Linked DNA regions of Sus scrofa. The protein of the gene in region 1 interacts with the protein of each later gene in a pairwise test. Links are inferred from orthologs where the notes say so. Each region holds a gene or a part of one and is shown in the gene's direction. Other genes may lie near its edges.

Evidence for each region.
Region 2: the proteins of RNF11 (region 1) and UBQLN2 interact in binary tests that used the Homo sapiens proteins (3 or more experiments, as listed by UniProt). The link is inferred for Sus scrofa from reciprocal best matches to the Homo sapiens genes RNF11 and UBQLN2.
Region 3: the proteins of RNF11 (region 1) and ubiquitin-conjugating enzyme E2 N-like interact in binary tests that used the Homo sapiens proteins (3 or more experiments, as listed by UniProt). The link is inferred for Sus scrofa from reciprocal best matches to the Homo sapiens genes RNF11 and UBE2N.
Region 4: the proteins of RNF11 (region 1) and WWP2 interact in binary tests that used the Homo sapiens proteins (3 or more experiments, as listed by UniProt). The link is inferred for Sus scrofa from reciprocal best matches to the Homo sapiens genes RNF11 and WWP2.
Region 5: the proteins of RNF11 (region 1) and RNF168 interact in binary tests that used the Homo sapiens proteins (3 or more experiments, as listed by UniProt). The link is inferred for Sus scrofa from reciprocal best matches to the Homo sapiens genes RNF11 and RNF168.
Region 6: the proteins of RNF11 (region 1) and SMURF1 interact in binary tests that used the Homo sapiens proteins (3 or more experiments, as listed by UniProt). The link is inferred for Sus scrofa from reciprocal best matches to the Homo sapiens genes RNF11 and SMURF1.
Region 7: the proteins of RNF11 (region 1) and RABGEF1 interact in binary tests that used the Homo sapiens proteins (3 or more experiments, as listed by UniProt). The link is inferred for Sus scrofa from reciprocal best matches to the Homo sapiens genes RNF11 and RABGEF1.

What each region holds. Positions count from the first base shown.
Region 1 is NC_010448.4:160,908,914-160,912,889, reverse strand, and holds the start of RNF11 (RING finger protein 11), read left to right. Parts: upstream 1-1,176; 5' UTR 1,177-1,713; coding exon 1,714-1,836; intron 1,837-3,976. UniProt on the Homo sapiens protein: Essential component of a ubiquitin-editing protein complex, comprising also TNFAIP3, ITCH and TAX1BP1, that ensures the transient nature of inflammatory signaling pathways. Promotes the association of TNFAIP3 to RIPK1 after TNF stimulation.
Region 2 is NC_010461.5:48,946,708-48,950,861, forward strand, and holds the start of UBQLN2 (ubiquilin-2), read left to right. Parts: upstream 1-1,354; 5' UTR 1,355-1,681; coding exon 1,682-3,556; 3' UTR 3,557-4,154. UniProt on the Homo sapiens protein: Plays an important role in the regulation of different protein degradation mechanisms and pathways including ubiquitin-proteasome system (UPS), autophagy and the endoplasmic reticulum-associated protein degradation (ERAD) pathway.
Region 3 is NC_010443.5:26,024,423-26,028,607, forward strand, and holds the start of ubiquitin-conjugating enzyme E2 N-like, read left to right. Parts: upstream 1-1,385; 5' UTR 1,386-1,757; intron 1,758-4,185. UniProt on the Homo sapiens protein: The UBE2V1-UBE2N and UBE2V2-UBE2N heterodimers catalyze the synthesis of non-canonical 'Lys-63'-linked polyubiquitin chains. This type of polyubiquitination does not lead to protein degradation by the proteasome.
Region 4 is NC_010448.4:17,070,983-17,074,482, reverse strand, and holds part of WWP2 (NEDD4-like E3 ubiquitin-protein ligase WWP2), read left to right. Parts: coding exon 1-90; intron 91-1,000; coding exon 1,001-1,121; intron 1,122-1,456; coding exon 1,457-1,561; intron 1,562-3,056; coding exon 3,057-3,153; intron 3,154-3,342; coding exon 3,343-3,415; intron 3,416-3,500. UniProt on the Homo sapiens protein: E3 ubiquitin-protein ligase which accepts ubiquitin from an E2 ubiquitin-conjugating enzyme in the form of a thioester and then directly transfers the ubiquitin to targeted substrates.
Region 5 is NC_010455.5:133,624,280-133,628,345, forward strand, and holds the start of RNF168 (E3 ubiquitin-protein ligase RNF168), read left to right. Parts: upstream 1-1,266; 5' UTR 1,267-1,519; exon of another isoform or gene 1,520-1,754; intron 1,755-1,841; 5' UTR 1,842-1,881; coding exon 1,882-2,182; intron 2,183-4,066. UniProt on the Homo sapiens protein: E3 ubiquitin-protein ligase required for accumulation of repair proteins to sites of DNA damage. Acts with UBE2N/UBC13 to amplify the RNF8-dependent histone ubiquitination.
Region 6 is NC_010445.4:6,040,379-6,043,878, reverse strand, and holds part of SMURF1 (E3 ubiquitin-protein ligase SMURF1), read left to right. Parts: intron 1-879; coding exon 880-1,081; intron 1,082-2,687; coding exon 2,688-2,772; intron 2,773-3,264; coding exon 3,265-3,364; 3' UTR 3,365-3,500. UniProt on the Homo sapiens protein: E3 ubiquitin-protein ligase that acts as a negative regulator of BMP signaling pathway. Mediates ubiquitination and degradation of SMAD1 and SMAD5, 2 receptor-regulated SMADs specific for the BMP pathway.
Region 7 is NC_010445.4:16,373,796-16,377,837, reverse strand, and holds the start of RABGEF1 (rab5 GDP/GTP exchange factor), read left to right. Parts: upstream 1-1,242; 5' UTR 1,243-1,358; intron 1,359-4,042. UniProt on the Homo sapiens protein: Rab effector protein acting as linker between gamma-adaptin, RAB4A or RAB5A. Involved in endocytic membrane fusion and membrane trafficking of recycling endosomes. Stimulates nucleotide exchange on RAB5A. Can act as a ubiquitin ligase.

The sequences.
Region 1 (3,976 bases):
TTAAGCAATGTGCCAGGCCCTGCACAGAGGAGAGACAGATGATTCAGCTTGATCAGACTGTAATAGAGAAAAGCTCAGGGAGAGGCAACTAGGCAACCAGACTCCACGATTAGGAGAGGCTTCCCAGTGGAACCAAAGTTGAGTCCAGGAAGGACAAGTGGGGATAATGTTTAGCTTGATGGGAGGTATAAGGTCAGAAGTGGGCGGAAGTGAGTTTCTGTCAGAGAAACAGTGTGGGTAAAGCCTTAGCGTTTTAACTTTTAAAAGGTAAAAGTTATCCCTTCTAGATAACTGGACTACTTTATTTAGGCATCCTAGAGTGTAGAATATGTCAGGGAACAATGTCTAATGAGATCGAGGAGGTAGCCAGATTTGTAAACCATTTAAGAATTAATGCTTAGCCATAACAGCATTGGGAAGCCATTGAAGATTTTAAAAAGTTTAAATTCCCCCTAGGGACATCAGCTTTACATTTTAAAAAGAAAACTGGACTGAACAAATAGTGGATTGAATAGGGGCAATGGTGAATGCAGGGGGAAGGGTTCCAAGTACAACAATAGAAATATGATGGTAACTTGTACTATGGTGGTGGGAATGGAAAGAAATAGAGCATTCAAGAACTATGTCTAGATACTCATGTTGCAACAGAACAAAGGGTGGGGGAAAAAACCTAATTGTAATGTATACATGTAAGGATAACCTGACCCCCTTGCTGTACAGTGGGAAAAAAAAAAAAAAGAAATAGAGCATTCAGTTAGTATAGTTGGAAGAAGAATCTTTCTGGCTGTGATATAGGAGGATCAGGAAGCGATTGGGGAGCTAGGAAAGTTTCCTTAATGAGTCTGGACTTTATTTGAAGGGATAAATGGTAAACCTTTTAATATGTTAATAATGGGAGTGATCCATTCAAATACGGGTTCATAAATAGATAACTAGGCAGAAGGTCGTGAGAAGACTGACAAAACAGCGTACAGGTGTGAAGTGAGGCAAGCGGGGAGGGAGCAGTGGATGTGGGGAGGCAAGGAGACCCAAGAGAGCTTTCAGAGGTTTCGGTCCCCAGCTAATTGTCGGAGAAGCAGAGACTGACGCAGCCCGGGGAACAGCTGTTGGGAACCGGGTAGGCGGGGCCGGCGCCGCCTACACCTCCCAACGCCGGGGGCGGGACCAGGGCACGCACGGCGGCGTGACGCAGGGCCGCAGCTGGCCTCGTTCTGGCCGCCGCCGCCGCTTTGAGGCGGTGTAGGATGAGGCCCGCGGCTGCGGCTCCGGCGTCGGCGGGGGCAGCAGCAGCTGAGGCAGCAGCTGAGGGAGCCGCGACGGCCGCGCCCCCCCCTCCTGACCTGGATTAGGCCCAACAGCTTCGTGGCCGCCGCCGCCCCGCGGGGGGGCGGGGTGGGGAAGTTCTTCGTCTCCCCGCCCCCCCCCCCCCCCGCCGCCGCCGCCGCCGCCGCCGCCTCGTAGGAGGCAGCCGCCGCCTCGTAGGAGGCAACCGCCGCGACCCCAGCCGAGCCCGCGGCCCAGCCTTAAGCCCCCAACCCCGGGGGCTGGCATGAGCGGCCCTTCGGCGGCGCCGGGGGGCGGGGGAGCCGCTGCCGCCTGAGCCCCGGCCTGCCACTCGACCCCACGTCGCTGACCGGGGCTGACCGCAGAGCGTGCGAAGGACCCCGCCGCTGCTTTCTTCCTCCCCTAGATCACACACCCCAACCCCAGAAGATGGGGAACTGCCTCAAATCCCCCACTTCAGATGACATCTCCCTGCTTCACGAGTCTCAGTCCGACCGGGCTAGCTTTGGCGAGGGGACGGAGCCGGATCAGGAGCCGCCGCCGCCATATCAGGTACGGAGGGTGTGTGTGGGGAAGGGGGGTGCGAGGAGCAGAGGCAGCTCTGGCCGAGGTCGTGGGGGCTTCGGGCTGTCACTGCCCTTGGTTTCGGTAAGACCTGGCCTCAGGGGCACTGACACGCTTAGGACTGAATTTGAGGGCGACTGCTCTTCACTTCCAGAAATAGGGGGACTCTTTCACCTCGATGTGGGGATGGTACTTCTGTCCTTGAGTTCTGAAATTCGGATATATGATTATGTCCCCTTGGCCGGTGGCTAGTGGTTAGCTTGTGGAGTTTGGAAGTGACATTTTCCTGCCTTTATGTCTGAGTCGTGGAGTCTGAACTGTGAGGTTTGGAGACGATTGCCACATCGCATCGCCAGGTGCGATGAATTATGGGTTGTGGATAGGTGGTTAACCCCCACCTCATTTATACTTCCAAGTGTGACCATCCTTTCCTCCCTACCTTGTTTGGATTAATTGGATCTGGTAGGATTAATTGGATCTGGTAAGCATTCATTTCTCCCTCAGCTCGGGAGATTTTCAGGTAGTTTTTTTGGTTCGAGCAGCACCAAGGATTACTTGTTTATATATATAGTAAATTAAAAATTTTAATCCTTAATCCTTTTGCTCCACCCCTATGACACACCTTTTAAACGCGCTGACTTAATAGAACGTGATTATCTTGAACTCTGGAAACCTTTAAACCTTACTTGAGAAATACCTTCTCTTACTTGTGGTTCTCCCTTTGTATCAAAGGCTTCTCTCCCAAACAGCTTCATTGCCTTTTGCACAGCAGTCAGCAGCTTCAGCTGTCTTTACACAATTAGTAAAGAGCTAAAGACCTCTTTAGAAAATTCAAAATAGATACGTAGATACTATAATACATAATATTTATGTATATATATAAACCTTTTGTCTAGTTTTTCAGTTTTAAATGATGTTGATTAAAAACTTTTTTCCCAGAAGGACTTGGATAGTTAAGTGCCTTAATTTTTTTCCTGAACAGGGTTTAGTTTTCTCCTTTGTTGTTTCATGTGGTGACATCATTATCTAGTGTTGTTCTTTTCTCATACCTATGTAAATCAGTGCCTCATCACACCAGAAAAACCTGATCACATATGCTAGTTTCCTGAATAAAACCCTTCGGAAACCTTTCATATATACCAGTAAAGTCCAGTCTTACTGTGGCATACAGAAACCTCCATGGTTTATTTTTCACATTCATATTCCTGGCCTATCAAATACAGCAGTCTGTTCACACCTCTCTGCCTTAGCTCCTTCCTCTGCTTGGAGCCCTTTCCCCAAGGTCGGCCAGGTGAACCTCTGATCCTCTTTGAGAACTCATCTGTATCTGAAGTCCCTACATTCCCCTCCCTTACACCTTGAATCCATCACTCCCTTCTTTGTGCCCCCGCCCCACAACCCTCTACACTTCCATAAGCAGCATATAGAATACTTAAGTGTTATCCTTGTTTAGTTAGATGTGTGTCTCATTCTTGAGGCATTTCTCTCTTCCAGTATAAGCTGCATGCAGGTAGGGTCCCCATGGTTCCTGTGTGTTGTATGCCCACCGTCTGGCTCAGTAACTGTGAAATAAATGACGACTGTAAGCCTTTGAGAATAGAGACAATGTCCCCAATGAATGAATTAATGAATTTGAATTCAGTATTAGTTTTGTAAGTTTATACACCCATTTCTTCCAAAGAATTCTCACAAGAGAAGTCTTAAAAAATTCAAAATAAATCTGGATGTTGTTCTGAATCTTTGAAGCAAGTACATTGTTTATATTTCACTCTTGGTTTTCTTCATAAATGCTATAGGTCATTGTGCTTATTTCAGTTTCATAAGCATATTTTCTTAGATGTTTGATATTTATTTCAAAATCTCCTGTGTTCCCTAGCCACCTTCCAGGAAAGTCAAATATCTTTGACTTACTGCCCTCTTTCTCTTATGTCCTTATGGTAATACAGTGTTAAGGATAACTTTTTTAGAATTTGTGGAGATCGTATTTGCCTATTCGAGGAGGATAAGGTAGAGTTTTTGTTGGTATCATGAAGAAACTTTTTTTGAAACATGTTATTTGTGACAGTGGGAGTTTTTTGTGGTTGCCCCTTCTTGAAATGAATAACCCAGATACTGATATGCAAATTTA
Region 2 (4,154 bases), on another chromosome or scaffold:
TGCCACTACTATTGTGTGCCTGCCAATTGCCATCTACAATTTTTTAGTAAAATAATTTCTCATCTTTTAAAACTGTAAATGCAAGGTATACTTACGGAGGCCATCAGAAAAAGTTAAATTTTATTTTAAAAAGATAGTTTATTCATAATTTGAGCACCAATAACCACCATTTTCATATTGGCCTACAGTGTTCTTGATTACTTTTATACATACAGTCTTCAAAGACAGTTTACACATGCAAACTGTTCTAAAGTAAAAATATACTTACTGTGTTTTTTGGTACTGAACCATACATGCTTGTATAATTTCTAACTGCATGGAAATATACAAAGCGAAAATACTCTGTAATTTCCTTGTAACTACTGTTTATTTCATATCTTCCTTTAAAGATACTTCATGTCATACAAATTAACCACCCATTTTTAAACATAGTGGATATTATTTTATTTTATGGTAATATCATAATATATCTGACCAATCCTGTGTAAAGAGACACTGATTATCCTTTTTAAATATTTATTTTAAATGCTGCAATGAGTGTAGATTTTATACATATGCATTTCTGCATTCCTATTTTGTTATTTTCATAGGTGAGGTCTCTAAATTAGACATTTCCAAACAGAGGTGGAACTATATAAAATGTTGATATATATATGTTAAAATCATCTTATGATTATAACAATTTACATTTCAATTGGCATAAGCGTGCATTTTCTCAGCTCTCTCAAAGATTTATTATTATTTTTCATCTTTGCCAGTAAAAGAAGAATTTCCTTGTTTTAATTTGAATGTCTTTCATTACTAGTGAGCTTAATCATCTTTTTATATGCCCATTTGCCATTTGTACTTCTTTTGTAAAATGCAGGATCCTGCCCAGCCCTCTTCTCTTCACCCTAGGGTGAGAGGTGGGTTGGGGTGGGTGTTAATCTTTTCCTTTTTGCTTTGTCAGAGTTCTTTATTTTTAATCTTTTACTTGGGTTGGGTTCGATTCAGGCTTTCATTCTTTCACTTCACTCTAACGGAACATCTATATATCTATGTATAGATATATATGTATATCTTACGAAATACATGTATATTTTCTCCATTAGTCTTTATTTCCCTTTATAGAAACTGGCTCCCGTCCCCCTTCCGTATTTTTTTCTCTTGTCTTCTCTAGTCTCTTTGTTTCTTTCTCCTGTTTTCCTCTCTCTTTGTTTCTCACTCTCTTTCTCTCCCTCATTTTTTTTTTTTTCCAGAACAGAAGTTTTTAATTTTGACCGAGTCGAATCTATCATTCTGCGCCTGGCGCCGCGTCAGCAGACGGGGGCAGGGAGGCGAGAGCCGAACTGGGGGGAGGGGAAGGGGCGGGGAGGAGCGGGCGGAGCGGCTGCGGGAGCTGCTGGGAGAGCGCGGGGTGGGGGTGGGATCACACGGCGGCGGCGGCGGAGGCAGCGGCAGCGGCAGTGGCGGCGGAGGCCCAGAGACCTGAACGCCGAAACCTCGGTCCGTGGCCTACACGGAGCCCTCTCTCCATCTGAGGACCAGGGAACCGCAGTCTTCAACACAGAGGTACCGTGCTCCGCTCTCCCGCCCGGCCCGGCTCAGCCTGCTGCGGCGGTGCCTCCTTCCTTCCTTCTTCCCTCGCTCTCTTTCTCGCCCGCCCGCGCCTTCCCTGTCTGCCTGCGTCACCGCGGCCGCCATGGCTGAGAACGGCGAGAGCAGCGGCCCCCCGCGCCCCTCCCGCGGCTCTGCTGCGGCGCAAGGCCCGGCCTCTGCCCCGGCGGAGCCTAAAATCATCAAAGTCACTGTGAAGACCCCCAAAGAGAAAGAGGAGTTCGCAGTGCCCGAGAACAGCTCAGTCCAACAGTTTAAAGAAGCGATTTCGAAACGCTTCAAATCCCAAACCGATCAGCTAGTGCTGATTTTTGCCGGAAAAATCTTAAAAGATCAAGATACCTTGATCCAGCATGGCATCCATGATGGACTGACTGTTCACCTTGTCATCAAAAGCCAGAACCGACCTCAGGGTCAGTCCACACAGCCCAATAGTGCCGCGGGAACTAATACTACCACCGCGTCGACTCCCAGGAGTAACTCCACACCTATTTCCACAAATAGCAACCCGTTTGGTTTGGGGAGCCTGGGAGGACTTGCAGGCCTTAGCAGCTTGGGCTTAAGCTCGACCAACTTCTCTGAGCTCCAGAACCAGATGCAGCAGCAGCTCCTGTCCAGCCCTGAGATGATGATCCAAATCATGGAAAATCCCTTTGTTCAGAGCATGCTTTCAAATCCTGATCTGATGAGGCAGCTCATTATGGCCAATCCACAGATGCAACAATTAATTCAAAGAAACCCAGAAATAAGTCACCTGCTTAACAACCCAGATATAATGAGGCAGACCCTCGAAATCGCCAGGAATCCAGCTATGATGCAAGAGATGATGAGAAATCAAGACCTGGCTCTCAGCAATCTCGAAAGCATCCCAGGTGGCTACAATGCTTTACGGCGCATGTATACTGACATTCAAGAACCCATGCTGAATGCCGCACAGGAGCAGTTTGGGGGTAATCCGTTTGCCTCGGTGGGGAACAGTTCCTCTTCTGGGGAAGGTACGCAGCCTTCTCGCACAGAAAATCGAGATCCACTACCCAATCCATGGGCACCGCCACCGGCTACCCAGAGTTCTGCGACCACTAGCACAACAACTAGCAGTGGCAGTGGATCTGGCAGTAGCTCCAGCAGTGCTACGGGGAACACAGTTGCTGCAGCCAATTATGTCGCTAGCATCTTTAGCACCCCAGGAATGCAGAGCTTGCTGCAACAGATAACCGAAAACCCCCAGCTGATCCAGAATATGCTGTCTGCGCCCTATATGAGAAGCATGATGCAGTCGCTTAGCCAGAATCCAGATTTGGCTGCACAGATGATGCTGAATAGCCCTGTGTTTACTGCAAATCCTCAGCTGCAGGAGCAGATGCGTCCACAGCTCCCTGCTTTCCTGCAGCAGATGCAGAATCCAGACACACTGTCAGCCATGTCAAACCCAAGAGCAATGCAGGCTTTAATGCAGATCCAGCAGGGGCTACAGACATTAGCTACTGAAGCTCCTGGCCTAATTCCAAGCTTCACTCCAGGGGTGGGGGTAGGGGTGCTGGGAACAGCTATAGGCCCTGTAGGCCCAGTCACACCCATAGGCCCCATTGGCCCCATAGTCCCATTTACCCCCATAGGCCCCATTGGGCCCATAGGACCCACTGGCCCTGCAGGTCCCCCTGGTTCCACTGGCTCTGGAACCCCCCCTGGGCCCACCGTGTCTAGCTCTGCACCCAGTGACACGACGAGCCCAACATCGGAATCTGGACCCAACCAGCAGTTCATTCAGCAAATGGTGCAGGCTCTCGCTGGAGCAAATCCTCCGCAGCTGCCGAATCCAGAAGTCAGATTTCAGCAACAACTGGAACAGCTCAACGCAATGGGGTTCTTAAACCGGGAAGCAAACTTGCAGGCTCTAATAGCAACAGGAGGCGACATCAACGCAGCCATTGAAAGGCTGCTGGGCTCCCAGCCATCGTAATTATACTTCTGTACCTTGAAAAAATGTATCTTATTTTTGATAATGGCTCTTAAATCTTTAAACACACAGAATTGTGCTTTACTTTCATTTTGATTCCTTTAAATCTGTCTAGTTATAAATCTAATATGCATTTTAAGGTGGAGTCTTTTCCTCCCTCTTTGTTTCCTTCCTCCCTTCCTCCTTCTCTCTTCCCTCCCTTCTTGCCTTCCTTCTCTGTTTTGAATGGTGGGAATCAATGCTGTTTCACTCAAAGGTGTTGCATGCAAACACTTCTTTATTCTGCATTTATTGTGATTTTTGAGAACTGGTATCAACCTTTACGGTTGGGTGAACAAGTTTTGTCCTACAGATGTCCAATTTATTTGCATTTTAAACATTAGACTATGATAGTAATTTAATGTAGACTGAAAATATTAAAAGCAGAAACAAATTATTTGAAACTCTAATTTGTGGTACAATATTGCTTATTGTGACTTTGGCATGTATTTTTGCTAGCAAAATGCTGTAAGATTTATACCATTCTTTGATCTTTTTTGCTATATTTATATGCAGTACAGTAAGCACAATTGGAACTGTATACCTAGAAATGTTACAACAG
Region 3 (4,185 bases), on another chromosome or scaffold:
TCTTTGAACATTTCTTTCAAGGTATGTCTTTTGGAAACAAATTCTCTCAGTTTTTGTTTGTATGAGAAAGTCTAAATTTATCTTTCACTTTTGAAGAATAATTTTGTAGGGTACAGAATTCAGGTTGATTTTTTTTCCCCTTCTGAACACTTTAAATTTCACTCTGCTCCACTTCCATGGTTTCTGAGAAGTTGCATGTAATTTTCATCTTTGCTCTACTATAAGTAAGGCTTTTTTCCTCTCCTCTGGCTTCTTTCGAGATTTTTCTTTATTTTTGATCTTCTGTAGTTTGAATATGATATGCCTAGGTGTAGTGTTTTTTGGAACTATTCATGATTGATGTCTCTGACATTAGCATTTTACATTAATTTAAAGAAAATTGCTGTCCTTATTGCTTCAAATATTTCTCCTATTACTTTCTCTTCCTGGTATTCCCATTATACATATGTAACACTTTTTTATAGTTGTCTCACAGTTCTTAGATATTATCTTTTGGGTTTTTTTTCCATTTTTTTTTTCCCTCTTTGCATCTCTGTTTTGGAAGTTTCTATTAACATTTCCTTAAGCTCAGAAATTCTTTCCTCAGCTGTGTCCAGCCTACTGATTAGCCCATCAAATGCATTTTTTTATTTCTGTTACAGTGTTTTGGTTCCAGCATTTCTTTTTGGTACTTTCTAAGAATTTCCATCTCTCTGCAGACATTGCCCATCTGTTCTTGCATGTTGTCTATTTTTTCCATTAGCCCTTTGCATATTCATCATATTTATTTTACATTCCTGGTGTAATAATTCTAACAACATTCTTGCCATATCTGAATCTATTCCACTTTATTATTATGTAATGCTCCTCTATATCTCTGATAACTTTTATTGCTCTGAAGTCTGCTCTGTCTAAAATTAGTAGAGTTACTCCTGAATTTTTTTGACTGGTGTTAGCATGGCATATCTTTCTCCATGCCTTTATTTTTAATTTACGTATGTCTTTATTTATATATGCATGCATTTGGTCACACCTACAGCATGTGGATGTTCCTGGGCCAGGGATTGAACATTGCTCTGGCTCTTCAAATGGTGTCTGTCTTTTGCCTTTTAGTATGCCTTACAAGTTTTTCTTGAAAGATGGACTTGTACTGAGTAAAAGGAACTGCAGTAAATAGGCCTTTAATGATGTGGTGGTTAGGTGTGGGGGAAGGGAAAATGTTTTATAGTTTTATGATTAGGTGTCAGTCTTTTGATGAGCCTGTGCTGCTGGGCTGTGAACGTCACACGTGCTTCTCTGTTGTTGTGGGTTTTTTTTTTTTTTTGCCCCACTCCCCCCCCTTAATTGGAACAAGATGCCTAGAGGAGCAGGAGTTGCGTATTTCGCTTCCCCAGTGTAAGAATAGAGCCAGCTGGGGCTGGGCATTTCCCTTCCCCTAGGTCAGTTAGGCACAGATAAAATCCCAGCAGGTTAGGCCCTAGAAAATAGCTTCTCCTGCAGGCGGACCTTGTTAAGAAGTGAGTGCTCTGGCACATTTCAAGGTGGTTCCTCTTCGGCTCCTTCTTCAGGAAACACAAGAAGATTTTCCTCTCAGATCTCCACTGTGAGAGTCTAGTAGGGCTCCTAGAGGCAAAGCTCACAAAGTGTGGATTCCTCTGGAATATTTAATTCTCCGATTTGTCTACTCTGCGGCTCCAGCCACCTGTCAAATACAGTTCAGCTTTCCTGACTGCGGCACTGGTTCCTGAGGAGGTTTCTGCTTGTGGGTTTCCGCTCTGGTAAGTTGTGATTTTCTGTGTCTCCCTGTCTCTCTAATGTGAGGGCCCGAGATTTGCCCTGAGACCTTCGTTCTCTCATGGATTTAAGAGTGGGTGATTTTTCAGTTTGTTCGGCTTTTTCTTGTTTTTAGAATGGAGGAATGACTTTCAAGCTCCTTCCAGGCCAGACCAGGAACTGCACCCCTTTTCCTTTTTATAAAATGATACCTGAGTGATATTTTCTGATCCAGTGTAGAATTTAGTGAAAACGTCTACATTCTGGTCATTGTTGCTATATTATTCCCTTCCGTTAATCCTTTTGGGCTATAATTGTTTCCCCAAATACTTTTTAGCTGTTAACAGTCTAGTTCTTTCCTCTGTTTGTTTTTCTTCAATTCCACTCCCACTCTGTCTTGGAGTGCTAACAACCAGTACCACCCATGTGTGCCAGTTGGGTCAACATTTAAACAAGGATGTACTGTTTACACTGTTGTTTCTAACATTCTGGTTGCAAACACCGCTTTGTGCTTTGTGAATTGAATTGGTGACAGGTGAAACTTAGGCTGATGGCAGAGAATTTGGGGTTATAAATGATGGTTCGAAGCTAGATTTATTTCGTTTTCTCTAAACCTATTAAATCTGTCCAGGTTGAAGCTCACTTGTATTGTATGCACTCACATTACGTAGAGAAATGGCTTTCAGCCTTGCCTTTGTAATAGATTCACTGGCTCTATTTCTATTTAATTGGTCTAGATGGGTCCTGGTATCAGTATTTCTGAAAGTTCCTTGAGTAATTCTACCATGCAATTTGAGGTAAGTCCATTGGTCTGTAGCAATGGTCAGCAAAACTTTTCTTTAAGGAGCGGAGAGTAAATATTTTAGGCTTTGAAGATCATTTGAAGATCATATATTCTCTACTGTAATTACTCAGCTCTCATGTAGCCGCCACAGGCAAATGGGCATGGCTATGCTCTAACAACTTCCTTTCTAGAGACCAAAATTCTAATTCATATACTTTTCATGTGTCATGAAATATTCTTATTCATTTGATGTTTTTTTTCAACTATTAAAAAATATAGGAGTTCCCGTTGTGACTTGGCAGTTAACAAACCTGACTAGGATCCATGAGGATCCCTGGCCTTGCTCTGTGGGTTAAGGATTCGGCGTTGCCATGAGCTGTGGTGTAGGTCTCAGACACGGCACAGATCTGACATTGCTGTGGCTGTGGTGTAAACCAGCAGCTGTAGCTCTGATTCAACCCCTAGCCTGGGAACCTCCATATGCTGCGAGCGCAGCCCTAGGAAGAACAAAAAAAAAAAGTACAGATTGGTTTTGTCTTACAGGATTTACGATAACAGTCTGCAAGTGGGATTTGGCCTAGGGACTGTTGTTTGGCAGTTCCTAGTTAATGGTTTATTTTCTTCACTGCTTCAATTTGGTTCCAAAAGAGAAAATGTTTCCTTAGTTACATCACTGATAATATCTTCAATGAATCCCAGAACTGACTACTTATTTTAAGTCAGTTTATCAGAACATTTTTAAACATGGCAATGCATTTCCTTATTAGGCTCTGAAGTTGTGGCCATTGAGATGCTTTTATCTATGAGTAACAAGCATGGCTTAAAAGGCTTTCAACAGTAGGAAAGGTATTATCTCATTAAAATAGAGAGAATTGCAGGGCTATTGTTATTTGAAAATGTCATCAGCCCAGATGTTTTCCATCTTTCATTCTACTATCCTCAATATTAGTCCTGCCTGATGTCTTGCCTCATGGTGGCAAGATGGCTGTAGTAGCCCTGGGCATCACATGCAGACTCACAACATCCAAAAAAAACAAAGAATAATTCCTTCCTTGAATTTATTTTGAATGTGGGGCAGTCTATTTTTAGACCAAGGCCCTCCTCCTATGTAAATCTCCCCTTAAGTCTCAAGGACCAAATCAGGCCCTGGTGAAGGAATTGAGATTACCATGATTACCTATCATGATGCTTGCCTTGGCTTCAGGATCTGGTCTGCCTTTCACAGGTGGCCCCAGGATCCCAGAATCAAATCAGGGTTCTGATAGCAAAGGAAGAGGAAGAAATGGCAGTGGGGCAAAAAAAAAAAAAAGTCTCACACAGAACTAGATTGTTAGGATTAAAAAAAATAAGGCGGCTGTCTCCTAAACTCCTCATTTCCATTTGTTTATTTACTTCCTTTAAAAGACCATTAGACAATTGTTGAGTACAATTTTCCTGAAAGATAGCTTATTGATTTTTCACTCAAGTAGGTTACATTTTGCTTCAGCCTTCAAAGACATTTCTATTACTCCCTTCAGATTACATTTAAAAAGGAATGTATCCGATTTTGGCTTACTTTGTTCTTTTTCTAAACCTGTACCACGTTGTGTGTGTAGCATAAAAATGTCCATGTCAAAAAAGGTTTAAAAAGAGTCATCACTTTTTTCTTT
Region 4 (3,500 bases), about 140 Mb from region 1:
GGAGATCCTGGGCAAGGTGACGACGCACGAGCTGAAGGAAGGCGGGGAGAGCATCCGGGTGACCGAGGAGAACAAGGAAGAGTACATCATGTGAGTCTCAAGCGCTGGGGGCTGAGGGGCTGGGGGGCTGCGAGAGGGGAGCAGAGGCCCAGCTGGCTGCAGAGAGAGGGTTTCCTGCTCTTGTCTCTGGGTGCCCTCTTCAGCCAGCCCCCCACACGTGGCCCGTGGGTCGCCAGGGGTGGAAAGAACCTCCCACTTGGCCCTGACCGTAGGTGGCTGCTGTGGCCAGTCAGGGACTGACCCTAGTGAGCAGCTGGAGCCCAAGCCCAAGGCCCTCTGTTCCCCTCCTGGGTTCTCTGTCCCCCAGGTGGTGGACTTCAAGGCCGCAGGGCCGGGGAGTTCCTGTTGTGGCGCAGGGGAAACAAATCCAACTAGGAACCGTGAGGTTGGGGGTTTGATCCCTGGCCTTGCCCAGTGGGTTAAGGATCCGGCGTTGCCGTGAGCTGTGGTGTAGGTCACAGACGTGGTTTGGATCCCGCGTTGCTGTGGCTGTGGTGTAGGCTGGCAGCTACAGCTCCGATTCGACCCCTAGCCTGGGAACCTCCATATGCCGCAGACGCGGCCCTAAAAAGACAAAACAAAACAAAAGGCTATAGGGCTGAATTCCTTTGATGAGGCATAAAATTTAGATGGCGCCCTCTTCTTTCTCCTGATTCTGTCCAGTTGACTTAAATCCATTATCTCACATGCCCATTCATGGTCGTGCCTTTTAACCTCCACATGTCAGCAGTAGTGGGAGGAGGAGGAGGAGGCGATTTCAAAGATTCAAGTGCCTCTGGGTTCCGGTGAGGTTTTAAAGGCTGTTCCCTGGGGCTGGCAGCAGCCCTGGGTCTCCCCGCCGGCCTGAAGTCAACTCTCAGCTGACCCCTTGCTGCCAGCGGTGGGCTTCCCCGCCCCACCCTGCCGCTCCTGAGCCGTGGCTCTCGGGCTCTGGTTTTAGGCTGCTGACTGACTGGCGTTTCACCCGGGGCGTGGAAGAGCAGACCAAAGCCTTCCTCGATGGCTTCAACGAGGTGGCCCCCCTGGAGTGGTTGCGCTACTTTGATGAGAAGGAGCTGGAGGTGAGAGCTGGGGTAGTTGGGACCCCGAACCCCTGCCTCTGGGGCAGTCCTGCTCTTTGCTAGCCTTGCTGGGAACCCACAGCGACTCACCAGGAGAACCCCGAAGTCTAGCTGGGGGGCGGCAGCAGGCCAGTCACATTGATTTGGGTTCACACCTGCCCTTACCTGGGCCCTGGTTTGCAGGGGGTCCACCTTACGACTTGCGTTGCCCGCACTGTTAGGCCTGCCGGCAGAGACAGTCGAAAACGTGTTTCATCTGGCAGGGAGTGGATGAAGCTCCGTGTGCCGTGGGGGGTGCTGGGCTGGGTGGCTGACTCCCGGGCTTTCTCCGGCAGCTGATGCTGTGCGGCATGCAGGAGATAGACATGAGCGACTGGCAGAAGAACACCATCTACCGGCACTACACCAAGAACAGCAAGCAGATCCAGTGGTTCTGGCAGGTGGGCCCTGGGTCTGGTCCCTGCCCTCAGGGCAAGGGTCTGGGCGGGGGCGTTTTCGCAGTCCCCACAGGAAGCGAGACCTGATTCCACCCCAAGCTCGAGGATACTTGTTGTGTTACCGCCTCCCTCGTCTTTGACCCTCTCCTCACCTCCCTCAACTTGCAAAAGGAGATGAGACACCCAACCTTGAGACAAAGGGAGCTGTGGCATCTGGGTTGTGGCCAGTGTGGGTGGGCGGTGGGTGGCCCAGCTCCAAATGCTGGAATGCAGTGGGGGCTCATTATGTACAGGAAGGAAAGCTCTCGTCTGTCCTGTGGGTCCCTGTCCAGCCAGGTGGCAGGGGCAAGCATGAGGTTGGCTCCAAAGAAACGGAATGGGCTCGTTGTCTCAGATACAATGAGTCGATTCCTTTGTGTGTGTGGGTCCAGTCGTTGTCGTCATTATGAAGTATAGCATATACAAAAAAGAACAAGCATGTGTAGGTTTTTTGTGGCAGTGAAATTCCTATGCTGTAAAATTCACTGGGTTAAGCATTTTAAGGTGTACAGCTCAGTGGATCTGACGTGGCTTTTAACAGTGCTGTGTAGCCTTCATCACTGTCTAATTCCAGAATATTTCATCCCCCATAAAAAGAAACCTCATACCCATTAAGCAGTCACTCCTGTCCTTAGTATACTTTTAAAAGCAGAACTTGGGAGTTCCCATTGTGGCTCACAGGGTTGCAGACCTGACTAGAATCCATGAGGGCGTGGGTTCAATGCCTGGTCTTGCTCAGTGTTTAAAGAATCTGCCGTTGCCGTGAGCTGTGGTGGAGGTCGCAGACGTGGCTTGGATCCTGTGTTTCTGTGGCTCTGGTGTAGGCCTACAGCTACAGCTCCAATTCAACTCCTAGCCTGGACACTCCCATATGCTGCGAGTGTGGCCCTAAACAGCAAAAATAAATAAATAAAATCAGGGAGTTCCTTTTGTGGCTCAGTGGTAACAAACCCAACTTGTATCCATGAAGACAGGGGTTCAGTCTCTGGCCTTGCTCAGTGGGTTAAAGATCCGGTGTTGCCAGGAGCTGTGGTGTAGGTCACAGACGCTGCTTGGATCTGGCATTGCTGTGGCTGTGGTGTAGTGTGGCAGCTACACCTCTGATTGAACCCCTAGCTTGGGAACTTCCACTTGCCACAGATGAGCCCCCCACAATAAATAAATAAGATAAAAATAAGTAAACAAATAAATAAAAGCAGAACTTGGAGGGAGGAAGACTGCCTGATCCAAAGTGTCCCTGAGACCAAGCGATGTGACATCACCTGGTGGGAAAGGCCAGCACAGCCTTTTAGAGAGAATGGCTTTGGGGTTGCCCAGGTGGCAGTGGTCAGCTCCCCCTCCAGCCCGGGCTCCGAGTTCTCCGTCCCAAAGAGGGGCCCGGCTCAGTGGAGAGTTAGAGGTCAGGGGAGGTACTGGGCCAAGCGGCTCCCTGACGCTGCCTTGGCTTGTGGAGCTGCAGGTGGTGAAGGAGATGGACAACGAGAAGAGGATCCGGCTGCTGCAGTTTGTCACTGGGACCTGCCGCCTGCCCGTTGGGGGCTTCGTCGAACTCATTGGTACATTTCCCCTTGGCCTGCGGGTGCCCTTGGGGGGGTGAGGACAGCTCAAAGAAGGGGGCAGGACCTAGTGTCTTCCTGGAAGCAGATCAGTGGGAGGGAGGCTGAGCCTTCAGCGGTTGGAGCCGGAGGGTCCTGCCTTCGGAAGGGACCATCCTGTGACACACAGTGCATTTTTCCGGACCACAGGAAGCAATGGGCCACAGAAGTTTTGCATTGACAAGGTTGGCAAGGAAACTTGGCTGCCCAGGAGCCACACCTGGTGAGTGTGTTGGTTGGAGGGGAGGTGGCAGGAACCTGAGGCCGGGAGAGCGCCAGAAGGCAGCCCAGTGGGCGAGGTGTCTTCA
Region 5 (4,066 bases), on another chromosome or scaffold:
CCCAAGAAATAGCAAAAAGACAAAAAAAAAAGGTAGAAAGGAGAGACACCCCCCCCCCCCCCGTCATGATGACTAAGCAAAGTCCAGCCACCTGCCCCTAACCACCCCTCCCTCACGCATCTGCTGCAGTAAGCTTGCTTCCGCATCTACTACCTTGCCTGACCTCACTCTGGTCCGCCAAGCAGGAGCTCAGAAGAGGTAGCCCATAAAAACTTTGTGAAAGACTTCTTCCGGGCTCAGACTCTGGAGAGCAATCTCCTCTGAGCCTGCCGGCATAATAAACGTGAATTCTCCAACTTTCCCAGTGCTCACTTGGTTTCTCCCTGGGTAAAAGAGCTGAAACACTGCAGCCACAGGGCTGTCGCTAGAGCTGATACGCTGCAGCGCAGGGCTGTTGAGCAGCTGCCTTAACAAAACCAAGTGGGAAAACATTTCAAAATGCATAAAGTTAAAATATTTTCCTTTTGACTTCTTTTGTAATTTTGATTGGTCTAGACTGAAATTAAACAATAAAGCAGTGCCTTATAATTGATGCACATGTTGGCTAAGCCCCAGGATCCTGCCAGTCCTACAGTTTGTTTCCCAAGTACCTGTTAAATTGTAGCAAGTTTGCAGATTCTTTGACCACAGCCTTTCTCAGAAATCATCCTAGAGATGCTTTTACAAGAACTCTGGAAAGCGACCTAAGAGGCTTCCTTACAAATGAAAAGAAACAAGGGTAGTTTGAGGAGTACTAAGGGAAGAATTTAAAAATTATTGTCAAGCTTTTTTGGGGGGGGCGCACCCACTGCACAGAAGAGTGACAGGACCACGGATCGAATCCAAGCCACAGGTAAGAACTATGCAGCAGCTTCAGCAATCTGGGATCCCCAACCCACTGCACAGGGCCAAGGATCAAACTAGCCTCCGCGGCAAACCGGACCCTTAAAGCACTGCGCCACAGCGGGAACTCCATCGGCTTTTAATTTGCCTTTAAGTTTCACTTTTTCTGACAAGAGACCAACCTTGCGACATACCCTGATTTCTGCAGCCTCTGGGAGCAGAAATCAAGAGGGAAATACTAAAGTGCAGTCAATGTGACGACGCAGGGTCTGCGAAGAAAGGACTGCAACACACCGAGAAGACCAGCTCTGGGGGGGCGGGGCGCGGGGCTCGGGTCGGGCAGCGCGCGCAGACTCGGAAGTCCCGCCCCAATGTTAGCCCTCTCTACCTTTGGTTGGTTCTCTAGGTGGGAGGGGCTGTTTTGGCGGGCAGTCGTGACGTCACTAGCCCTTGTCGGGTTGCTACAGCACCGCGCCAAGGTTAGGCTTTTGGGTAGATGGAAGAGAGGGAGGGGCGGGCTCAGAGCGCCCGGAAGGGCTCGCGCGCGGCCCCCGACAATGGTAAAACGGAAGTCCTACTCCTTCGGAGCTCCTCGTCCGGGCGGAAGAAGCGTTCTTCCTCTAGCGGTGGCTGCGTAGCTGCGCGCCTCTGCGGTCTGCGGCTTGGCTTCCGGGAGCTACGGGAGCATCCTCACCTGGTAAGAGAAAGGAGGGGAACTTGGCGCGTGCCTCCTGCGGGGGCCAGAGAGCCCACCATCCGCCCTGCCGCAACGGCTGTTAATGCTGGGAGCAGTCAAGGTTCATTTGTTTTCATTTCGGACGTTTGTCTTAACATGGACAAACACACTTCCTTCCACGGTCGTACTGTTTACCTGACCCTCAGAACACTTTTTTGCTTTAAAGACATTTGATGTTCCCAGTCTCTGAATTCTGGTAGGCTACTGGGCATAAAATTTAAACACAAAACTTAATTCGCTTTCTCCGAACTTGGGCTGTAGATGAGGATTCTTTCTCTTTCAGGTGTTGATGTTGATTGAATATGCCTTTTTAGCATATTAAAATGGCTGTACCCAAGGACGCCATCCCTTCATTGTCGGAATGCCAGTGCCAGATCTGTGTGGAAATTCTATTTGAGCCTGTGACACTCCCTTGTAACCACACGCTGTGTAAACCATGCTTCCAGTCGACTGTCGAAAAAGCAAATTTGTGCTGCCCCTTCTGTCGCCGCCGAGTCTCTTCGTGGACTCGACACCGCACCCGAACAAATTCTCTTGTCAACATGGAACTGTGGAAGATAATTCAGAAACACTATCCAAAAGAATGCAAGCTTAGAGCCTCTGGGCAAGAATCAGAGGAAATTGGTGAGTAAAAATCCAGCTTGTTCATTGTCTAAAAACCAAAATCTTTTAAAAAGCGAATCATCACTAGTCTTTTTTTTTTTTTTCAAGGATAAAAAAAGAAAATCTGGGTTAGTATTTGTCCAAATTTTTCACATCTTTGAGTTTAATGGGCCCTAAAATGTTGGTTAAGGTCACAATGGCAAGATTTGGTTCATTGTTTTAAGGCATAGGCTTAGTTTGGTCGGTGTTTGTTGGGTTAAAAATGAAAAGAAAACCAAAAAAAAAAAAAAGAAACAAAAGAATTACCTACTAGGGTCTTAAATTGTGTCGAAAGTTATATAAATAGTCACAGATGAGCAACAGTCAGTATGGCAGCAGCAGAAGTAAGGAAACTGCTGGATTCCTGTGTTAATATTTTTTTTATTTTCAGTTACTTTTCTCTAACTTTCTTGCCTATACATCTCCATTCATTTAGTTCTTAAGCTTTCAACAAGCCTAAAATAGCTTTCTGTGGCCAGTTTCCTCTAGTTCAGTCATTTTTATTCAAAGCCCTCCACAGTGTGGACTTAACAACTCTTCATTTTGCCCCCAGACTTTAGCGGCTTGACCACTTATGTGGTCATTAAGCCCTGCAGTGTTTCTTCTCCAGGCTTAAATGTGATGTGGATGCTCTGGTGTACTTGCTTTTTTTGGGAATTCTTTTTATTATGGTAAAATTTGCCATTTTAACCATTTTTAAGTGTACAATTCAGTGTCATTAATTACTTTCACAGTGTTTGGAAACTGTCACCACTGTTGCCAAAACTTTCATCACACCAGACAACTTCTTTAACCATTAAGCATCCCATTCTCCTTACTCCATCCCACTCCTGCTTTTCGGAGTTTCTAATCTCTGTGAATTTGCTTGTTCTAGATAATTTATGTAAGTGTATTCATACAGCGAATGATCTGTTGTGTCTGTTTTCTTTCACTTAGCATAATGTTTCATGCCGCCTTCTTTTTCTTTCTTTCTTTCTTTCTTTCTTTCTTTCTTTCTTTCTCTTTTCCTTTTCTTTTCTTTTCCTTTTCTTTTTTTTAAAGGGCCAAACCTGTGGTATATGGAAGTTCCCAAGCTATGGGTTGAATCAGAGCTGCAGCCGCCTGCCTGTGCCACAGCCACAGCCGGAGCAATGCTGGATCCAAACTGCATCTGCAACCTACTCCACAGCTTGTGGCAACATCAGCTCCTTTAACCCACTGAGTGAGGCCAAGGATCGAACCTGAATCCTCATAGATACTACTCGAGTTGTTAACCCACTGAGCTGCAACGGGAAGTCTACCGCGTTCTATCTTTATCAGTACTCCATCCCTTTTTATGGCTGAATAATATTCTACTCTATGGATATATTGTATTTTGTTCCTTCATCCATTGTTGGACATTTGGGTAGTTTCCACCTTTTGGCTATTTCAATAGTACTGATATGAATATTCATGTGCAAGTGTTTGAATGTGTTTTCATTTCTTTTGTGTACATATCTAGGAGTGGAATTGCTGGATCATATGGTAATTCTATGTTTAGCTTTGTGAGGAACTGCCTGGCTAGTGTTTACCATTAAAATTGCCATTGTTTTCACGAGTGCCTTTAGACTTGGGCTAATCCATATTCTGTTCATTGTGAAGTCAGTGTCTTTGAGGGAAATCTTTGGAGCTCTCAGTTCTTACTGCCTGCCTTTTTTCCCTGGGCAAAACATCTGAGCCACTGCTCTCTAGCTGGAAGCAGAGACTACAGCTTATTTCTCTTTGTTGGAACAGGTCAGTGCATAGGCATGCTAGTTCTGGTCTCCTTGACTCTTCTAGAACTTTTTTTGCCCTATGAGTGGGCTGTAATGAGGGCAGTGGGGTCCCAGTTTCTTCTTGCTGTGCCTG
Region 6 (3,500 bases), on another chromosome or scaffold:
AGCCGCGCAGCCCGGTGTGGGGAGGGGGGCAGCCGCCGAGTGAGGCAGCCGTTTCCCCACAGGCCTGGGGCCCCGGGACCCCAGGGGAGCAGAGGCAGGGCCAGGGGACGACAAGGCCCCCGGGCCTGCTGGGCGGCAGGGCTTCTGGATAGTTCCTGGGACACGGTTCTCCATGGTCTGCGGCTTAGCCTGCTTCGCAGGATCACCAGCAGCCGAGGAGTCACCTCGGGCAGGGAATTGTCAAGACCAGCTTCTCCCGCCACGTCCGCTTGCTGCTTTGATTCTGGCTAGTTTTAGGCTCACAACAGAGTGTCACTCACTGTCCTTTGTAATTCTTCGTCGTGTGGACAGAGCAACTCGCTCATGTCTGATGGGTCTCTGGGGCCAAGGGGCGCGGGTCTTCAAAACTGTACCCGTCTTTCTGCCCCGAGTGCGGTGCCAGGACCCTGGGTCCCCAGGCGCCTCCCCGGAGGGAGTGGACTTTTTAAAGTAAGTCTCAGGAACAAGCCCCGGTCCCTTTTCTTAGGACTTTAAACCCCACGCACCCCTGAGTGTCTGCAGGGTCATGTGAGGCGCCCCTTTACAGGTGGCTTCGTGCGGCCTTTCCGAGGCTGGTTCTGTGGTCCTTGCTCCGCCCCAGTGCCACGCAGACACACACACAGACTTGGTTGCAGGGAAGCGTTGCATCGGTGGCTACACCAGAGTGGTGGGGGTGCCAGCCAGCGGGGAGGTGCAGACGCAGTGTGGGCTCTGGGCCTGCCGGCTCGTCAGCATGTGTCCAGTCTGTGGGGATGTGGTGTGTCACTCTCCGTGTCCCGGGAGGCTGGCGGCCTGCTGGTGTGCGCGTGGGGAGGTAACCTGCCTTGGCCGCCCTCGCAGCTGATCATCGGCGGCCTGGACAAGATCGACCTGGACGACTGGAAGTCCAACACGCGGCTCAAGCACTGCGGGGCTGACAGCAACGTGGTCCGGTGGTTCTGGCAGGCGGTGGAGACCTTCGACGAGGAGCGGAGGGCCCGGCTCCTGCAGTTCGTGACCGGCTCCACGCGGGTCCCCCTCCAGGGCTTCAAGGCCCTGCAAGGTGACTGACAGGGCGGCGGGGCTGGGTGTCCTGGGCTCACCAGGAAACCCCGTCGGGTGGGTTCTTTCACGAGCTGCTCGGCGCTGCGGGGGTGCTGGCCTGGCCGAGACCCTCTTCCCCCCACACGAGCCGTGGCCGCTCGGTGGCCATTCTCCCCCTGCTCCCAGGGCTCGAGGCTCTGCTCTCCTTTGAGGGGTTGGGTGAAGGTGTCTGCACTCTGTAGACAGGCCACCTTCCCCAGGGTCTCTAAAGCCACAGCAGGCAGGTTACCCCGGGTTGGCAGCAGTGGTGCCCACGCAGGGCTGGGCCAGCAAAGCCTGTGGAGCCAGGGCCTCCCCTCCCCCACAGAATGGGGCACAGAGGGCGGGTACAAAGAGCGACAAGGCCTTGGGGACAGGAACCCGTTTTAAAGGTGCATTACAGCACAGCAGGTGAAGGATCTGGCCTTGTCAGTGCTGTGGCGCGGGTTTGATCCCTGACGTGGGAACTTCCACATGCTGTGGGTACAGCCAAAAAACAGAGCGCGCCGAGATTCATTTCTGAATCTTCTGATAGCAGCTCTCTCCGTGCTGTCCGAGGTACAGGGGGGAGAGCCCGAGACAGTCTGCTGCTGCCGTGCAGTCGCTGGCTCCCGGGTCCTCCCCGGCCCTCCGTTTCCTCATCTATACGCGTGCACTGCTGATAGGCCCCCGTCCCCTCTCGCGTCCCTTCCCGCCCCGACGGGACGCCCAGGTCTGGAGTTGGGCTGCAGAAAGGGGAGGGGCTCTCCTGCTGCTGCTTCCGAGGGCCGGTGGTCAGCACAGCCACTGCGAAGTCCTCGCAGGCTCCTCCCGGCCCTGCGGTTTGTAAAACCTGATTCTTGTCCCTTGGGAACCTCGTAGCTGGAAGGAGTAAGGTGAGAACATTACTGTGTTGGAACTTAGTACACACGGCTTTGCATAGTAAGAGTGGGAACAGACGCCGTTCACGTAAAGGGCAGTCCCTCTGGACTCATTTTAAGGCCTCTTAGCAGGAGAGAACTTCCTTCCCATTCCTGGGGCTTTGGTCTCAGGCATTTGTGTCTTTTTCTTTTGCCTCTGCCTGGGGAGTTTTCCCGACTCTGTCCTGCTTTTCTTGTGACCCTGCTGTCTACTGCCAAGAGTGGGCCTGCTCGCTTAACAGTGCTGTAAAGAAGAAAAAAAAAAAAAAAATCAGGAGTTCTCGTCGTGGCTCAGTGGTTAACGAATCTGACTAGGAACCATGAGGTTGCGGGTTCGGTCCCTGCCCTTGCTCAGTGGGTTACGGATCCGGCCTTGCCGTGAGCTGTGGTGTGGGTTGTAGACACGCTCAGATCCCGCGTTGCTGTGGCTCTGGCGTAGGCCAGTGGCTACAGCTGGAGGGTTCTCGCCCATCTTTGCTCTGCCTGCCCCTGTCATTTTCTAGAAAGTCTGATATTAGTGACTTCACAGCCATTGTAGGCATATCCTGAAACCCGGCCTTGGCCGTGACCCCCACAGCCCTCGGGCAGGACAGCCGCCCCGACGTGGGGGCCTCCGTGTGGCCGCAGGGGCGCAGGGGGCCCGGGCTGGGCCGCTGAAGCGCATTAACTAGAATGTTGCTCCGTAAGGTTCTACAGGCGCCGCAGGGCCCCGGCTCTTCACCATCCACCTGATTGATGCCAACACGGACAACCTGCCCAAGGCCCACACCTGGTAAGGACACGGCACGCGGGGACCCCGGGGCCCTTCTGAGGACCCGGCTCCTCCCGAGACGTGACTGTGTCAGAGCCGCCCCCGGCCCGGGGTCTGTGCGCACCGTCGGGCGGGAACAGGGCACCCCCTGGTGTGGGGCCGCTGTCTCCCACACCTGACCTTCCCGGGCCCCGCCTCCAACACACGCGCCTCGTGTGTGCAACGTGTTTCTTCGTTGGCTGGCGTGTCGCTCGTGGGTTGTTCCCTCGCGGTTTCCGATGACATCAGCCCCGCTCACTGCGGGGACCAGTCATCGAGAAGACGGCTGCTTCCTAATGCTGCCGAGCATGGGGGGGACGGAAGGGGTGGCTCCTGGGGGGGAACCAAGTGTGAGACGGACGGCACAGGCCCGAAAGGGAACCCTCCCCGCCCCCATGCTGCTACCTTGTGGCCGAGAAGGCTCTGCCCCTGCCAGGCGCCCGCGGTGACTCTGGCCTTGCTGTCCTGTTGCAGCTTTAACCGGATCGACATTCCACCTTATGAGTCGTACGAGAAGCTGTACGAGAAGCTGCTGACGGCGGTGGAGGAGACCTGCGGGTTTGCCGTCGAGTGAGGGGGGAGGCAGCAGAGGCAGCTCCCACCGCGGCACCGTGCGCAGCGGGCCAGGCCCTGCGCTCTGCGCAGCCCGGGCGAAGGCTCGCCTCCCTCCTTTCCGCTGGGGGAGCGAGGGGACGGGGGACTTGGGTCGG
Region 7 (4,042 bases), on another chromosome or scaffold:
AATTATTACCATGTATACCTCACACATACAAAGGAGATACCCTGAGAAAAGGCTTAGAATGCCCACTTAAATACCATTTTCCAATAAAGAAAAAACAGGAAAGGTGTTTGTGTGTGTGTGTGTGTGTGTGTAGGGGAGACCAGTTATGGGAGGTGACCAGGGGAATAAAAATAAGCTTAAGGTTTGTCATGCAGCTCTAAGTCAGTGTCTTATCCATAGTTGAGCTTCTAGTGACCTAAGAGTCATCCTTCTCTCCCAGGTACAGAGGGAGACCCCTTTACTAACGTGATCTCCTTCATTAGCTTCATTTCCTGTACAAAAGGTTAACTTCTGGTTTGTTTTCAGGGCTTCTCTGCTTTCTCAGAGGCATATTTTTGGGTGGCATATTCTGCTTCCCTACAGAATTTAGGAATAATCTGAGGAATGAATCAATCTCCATTTGGCAAATAATGAGCAAAGACTGAGAAATTAGACAACCTGTCCAAGATCAGAGGCAGCATTTAGCAAACCTGGTATTCCAACTTAGGTCTCCCTCCAGACACTGTACTCTAGTATTTTCTTTTCTTTTTTCTTTTTTTTTCTCCCAGTCGTGGCTGCACTTTGTGCCATAGATACCATCCAGAATACAGAGGCAGCCGCTGTCTCCAACATTCCTGAAATGGGAATCACGGAGAACTGGATTCCATTTATGACTCGATCATTAATACTGTGTGACACTGGGTAACTTATTAACCTCTGGAATTCAGTTATGCTCAGCTATAAAACCTGCTTCTAGGTCAGTCACTCTCTTTAAGGTCCTTTAAACTCAAACCACGTTCAAAATCCTAAGATCCGTGTGAAGCTATGGGATTCATTACTTTCTCAGGCAGCCTCATTCCCCACAGACTGCAACTGTCCACTGGCCCAAAGACTTCTCTCCCGCAGCCTTTCCAGTGCCTCCCATTTCGAGCTAAGGATGAGCAGCGTCTCTCTCAGTGGGATTCCCAAATACAGTGGGTGAGGAAAAGACAGGGAAACGCCGGCTTCTCCGTCGGCTTCTGAACGCTCCAGGTCAGGGACCCAGCACTAGGGCTGAGGGCGCCTCCTTCCTCATGCCCGACGGCTTTGTCGCCACTGTCATCCACGCCAGCCTCGCCCTCGCGCCACCCAGGGCAGATGCCGATGGGCACCTACACCCTCCCGGCGAGCTCCGAGCCCCGGAAGTGACGTCATGCGTGCGTGGCGTGCGCTCGCGGCGCCGGGGGCGGGGCGTGCGAGAGGGAGGGCCGGCGTGAGGGCGGGTTGTGGACTGGCGCCGGGACCTACTCGAGCGACGCGGGGAGAGCTGCGGTCCCGACGCGGGTGGAGCAGCCGGCGAGGTACGGGGCGGACGGACGGGACCCGAGGGGGGCGCGGTTCGCGACTCGCGGTGGCGGTGCCGTCCCGACAGGGGCTGCTGGGTCATTGGTCTAGGCTGTCCACCCGGCCGGGGCCATCTCGCTCCGGTCCCTCTTGCCGTCCTTCGTCCCAGCCCAGGGCCCGGTGGCGGGGCCCTGGCCGGTCCCAGGCCGTCGCCGGCCCCCTTCATCCTCTGCGCGTTCGGCCTGCCGTTTTAGGGCGCTTGTCGCCAAGTTGCCCGCGGCCCGGCCCAACTCCGACGGACAGACGCGTCTCGTTTCCTGGCCGCCTCCTGCCGCCTGTCCAGCTCTCGCGGGATGGCTTCCCTCCGACCGGCTCACTCAGTCCAGTCGGCAGAGTACCAAGGGACACCTGTGGTGGTGACCGGCTGGGTCGTGCCTTGGGCTCCTTGGGGACCCGTCGCAGCCCGGCCTGGGCAGGGCCGCCGGGACCTCGGGAACCCGCGTCGGTCTCAGAGAGGGAAGGGTCCGGGAGCTGGGAGGATGCTGTCTTTCGCGGCGTGGGAGCTGGAAGACTGGTCCTAACTTTCGCCCTATGATTGAGGACAAAGTTGTGGGCCTGAGGTTAGGAGCACAAGTCCCTGCTTCCGAACCGTCTTGGAGGAGAGCAGAGGTGATGCTCATCACGGAAGTTTAGTCGACAAGGAGGAGGGACCCAGCCGCTTCAGGGAGTAGATCAGAGTCTGCTGGTGGTGTCTCAACGCTGATGGCCAAGCCCTGTGATTGGGAAATGTGTCCGTGGGCTATGGGGGCTCGCTTTGCTCATGAGCTTAGATGTGAAAATTGGTCAGGATGAGTTTACAGCATCACCTGGGGAGTCGTTTTTTGGATCTGAAGAGTTGTGGCTTTTGTTTTGTTTTTGAGATTAACTCATTGTTGTACCTTTTTCTGTAAACCTAAGGCTGCAAAAGTACACTTACCCCCCCCCCCAAGTCTATTAAGGTTACTAATAAGTAACTTAAGCAGTACCAAGGAAGCTTCCCAGAGGTGCAAGAAGATTTGATTTTTATTCGATCCATTTCATGACAGATAACGTTAGTTTTAAGAGTTACTGATTCTCAGGTGGAAAATTAAGAAGTGTTGAAGGATTTGAATTTTGGGGACCTTCCAAGCCATCATTTTCTTCTCCAGAAAGTAGGCACTTTAAGGGAGAAGGACAGCAGAGATCCTTGCCATAAATGTGAGCAGTGTGAGCTAAGAGAGGTCACTGAGGGGGGACACCCCAAGTGTCTGGAGGGACCGCAGGGAGTGAAATGTATCTGAAAGTGTCCTGAAGAATGAGTAACATTCAGACTAGCAAGATGGGGTGGGAATTTTAGGGGTAGTGGGAATGTGGGCGTGGGGCAACTAAAGGAGAAGAGGGCAGTAACTCCCGGGAGGTGGTTTTTGAAAAGTGAAAAAGTGCAGGGCAGAGCTGTGGTGGCTGATAGGGGAAAAGATGCAGGAGATTCTTGGGGGGCTTTTATCTGGTGATGGCAGGACCAGGGAAGGGTTTTAAGGAGGGTTATTTGCCTGGTTAAAATGGAATTTTATATAAGGCTTACACATAGGCTGCTGTGTGTTGACTGATGAGGGTTGTTCCCAGCATAGTGCTTGATTATGTGCTATTTGTATTTTAATCTTTTCTGCTCCTTAAATGAATTGAATTCTCTTCTCATTTAGTCATTGTGGGAGAGTGTCTGACCCTGCTTACTTGTAAGCTTCTATAAACAGGAATTCTGCCTGTATCTCTTTGCTTCTTAATCCAAGTTGGGCTTTCAGAAGTGTTCCATGAGGACTTGAGAAATCATTGATTTCCTTTTCTTTCTTTTTTCTTTTTTTTCTTTTTGTCTTTTGTCATTTTGTCTTTTGAGGGCCAAACCCAGGGCATATGGAGCTTCCCAGGCTAGAGGTACAATTGGAGCTGTGGCTGCCAGCCTGCACCCCAGCACCAGATCCGAGCAGCATCTGTGACCTACACCACAGCTCACAGCAACACCGGAGCCTTAACCCACTGAGCAAGGCCAGGGATCGAACTCACAACCTCATTGTTCCTAGTCGGATTCATTTCTGCTGCACCACGACGGGAACTCCTCTTTTTCTTTTTTTTCTCTCTATCTCTCTTTTTTCCGTTTTTGAGCCGCTCTTGTGACACAAGGAAGTTCCCAGGCTAGGGGTTGAATTGGAGCTATAGCTGCTAAAGGACTATGCCACAGCATAGTAGGTCCTAAACCTACTCAGCGAGGCCAGGGATCAGACCTGCATCCTCATGGATGCCAGCTGGGGTGGTTACCACTGAGCCACAATGGGAACTCCAAGGAATCATTGATTTCTGATTTTCAGTGGTTGGTTTTCAGAAAAAACATTTTTGATCAGTACTTATTATCTACATATAGAAGAACTAAGATATTGTTTCATTTACTCTTGTCAGTGTTTGACTAGAGAAGTAGAATTTTTGTGTTGACCACGTGAGTTTAATTGTTGGCACATGTGTTTCTATTGGCTGCAAAGTAAACATCTCTAGCAGGTTGACCCATCCCTAAAATGTAGGTGATACCTGTGTAGCATAACATACCTGTCTGCTCTGTGACTCAGAATGGAAATGCTATTAAGTGGCTTCTTAACCCAGCAATAAACTTGTCACCCTAAAAAAAAAAAAAAAAAAG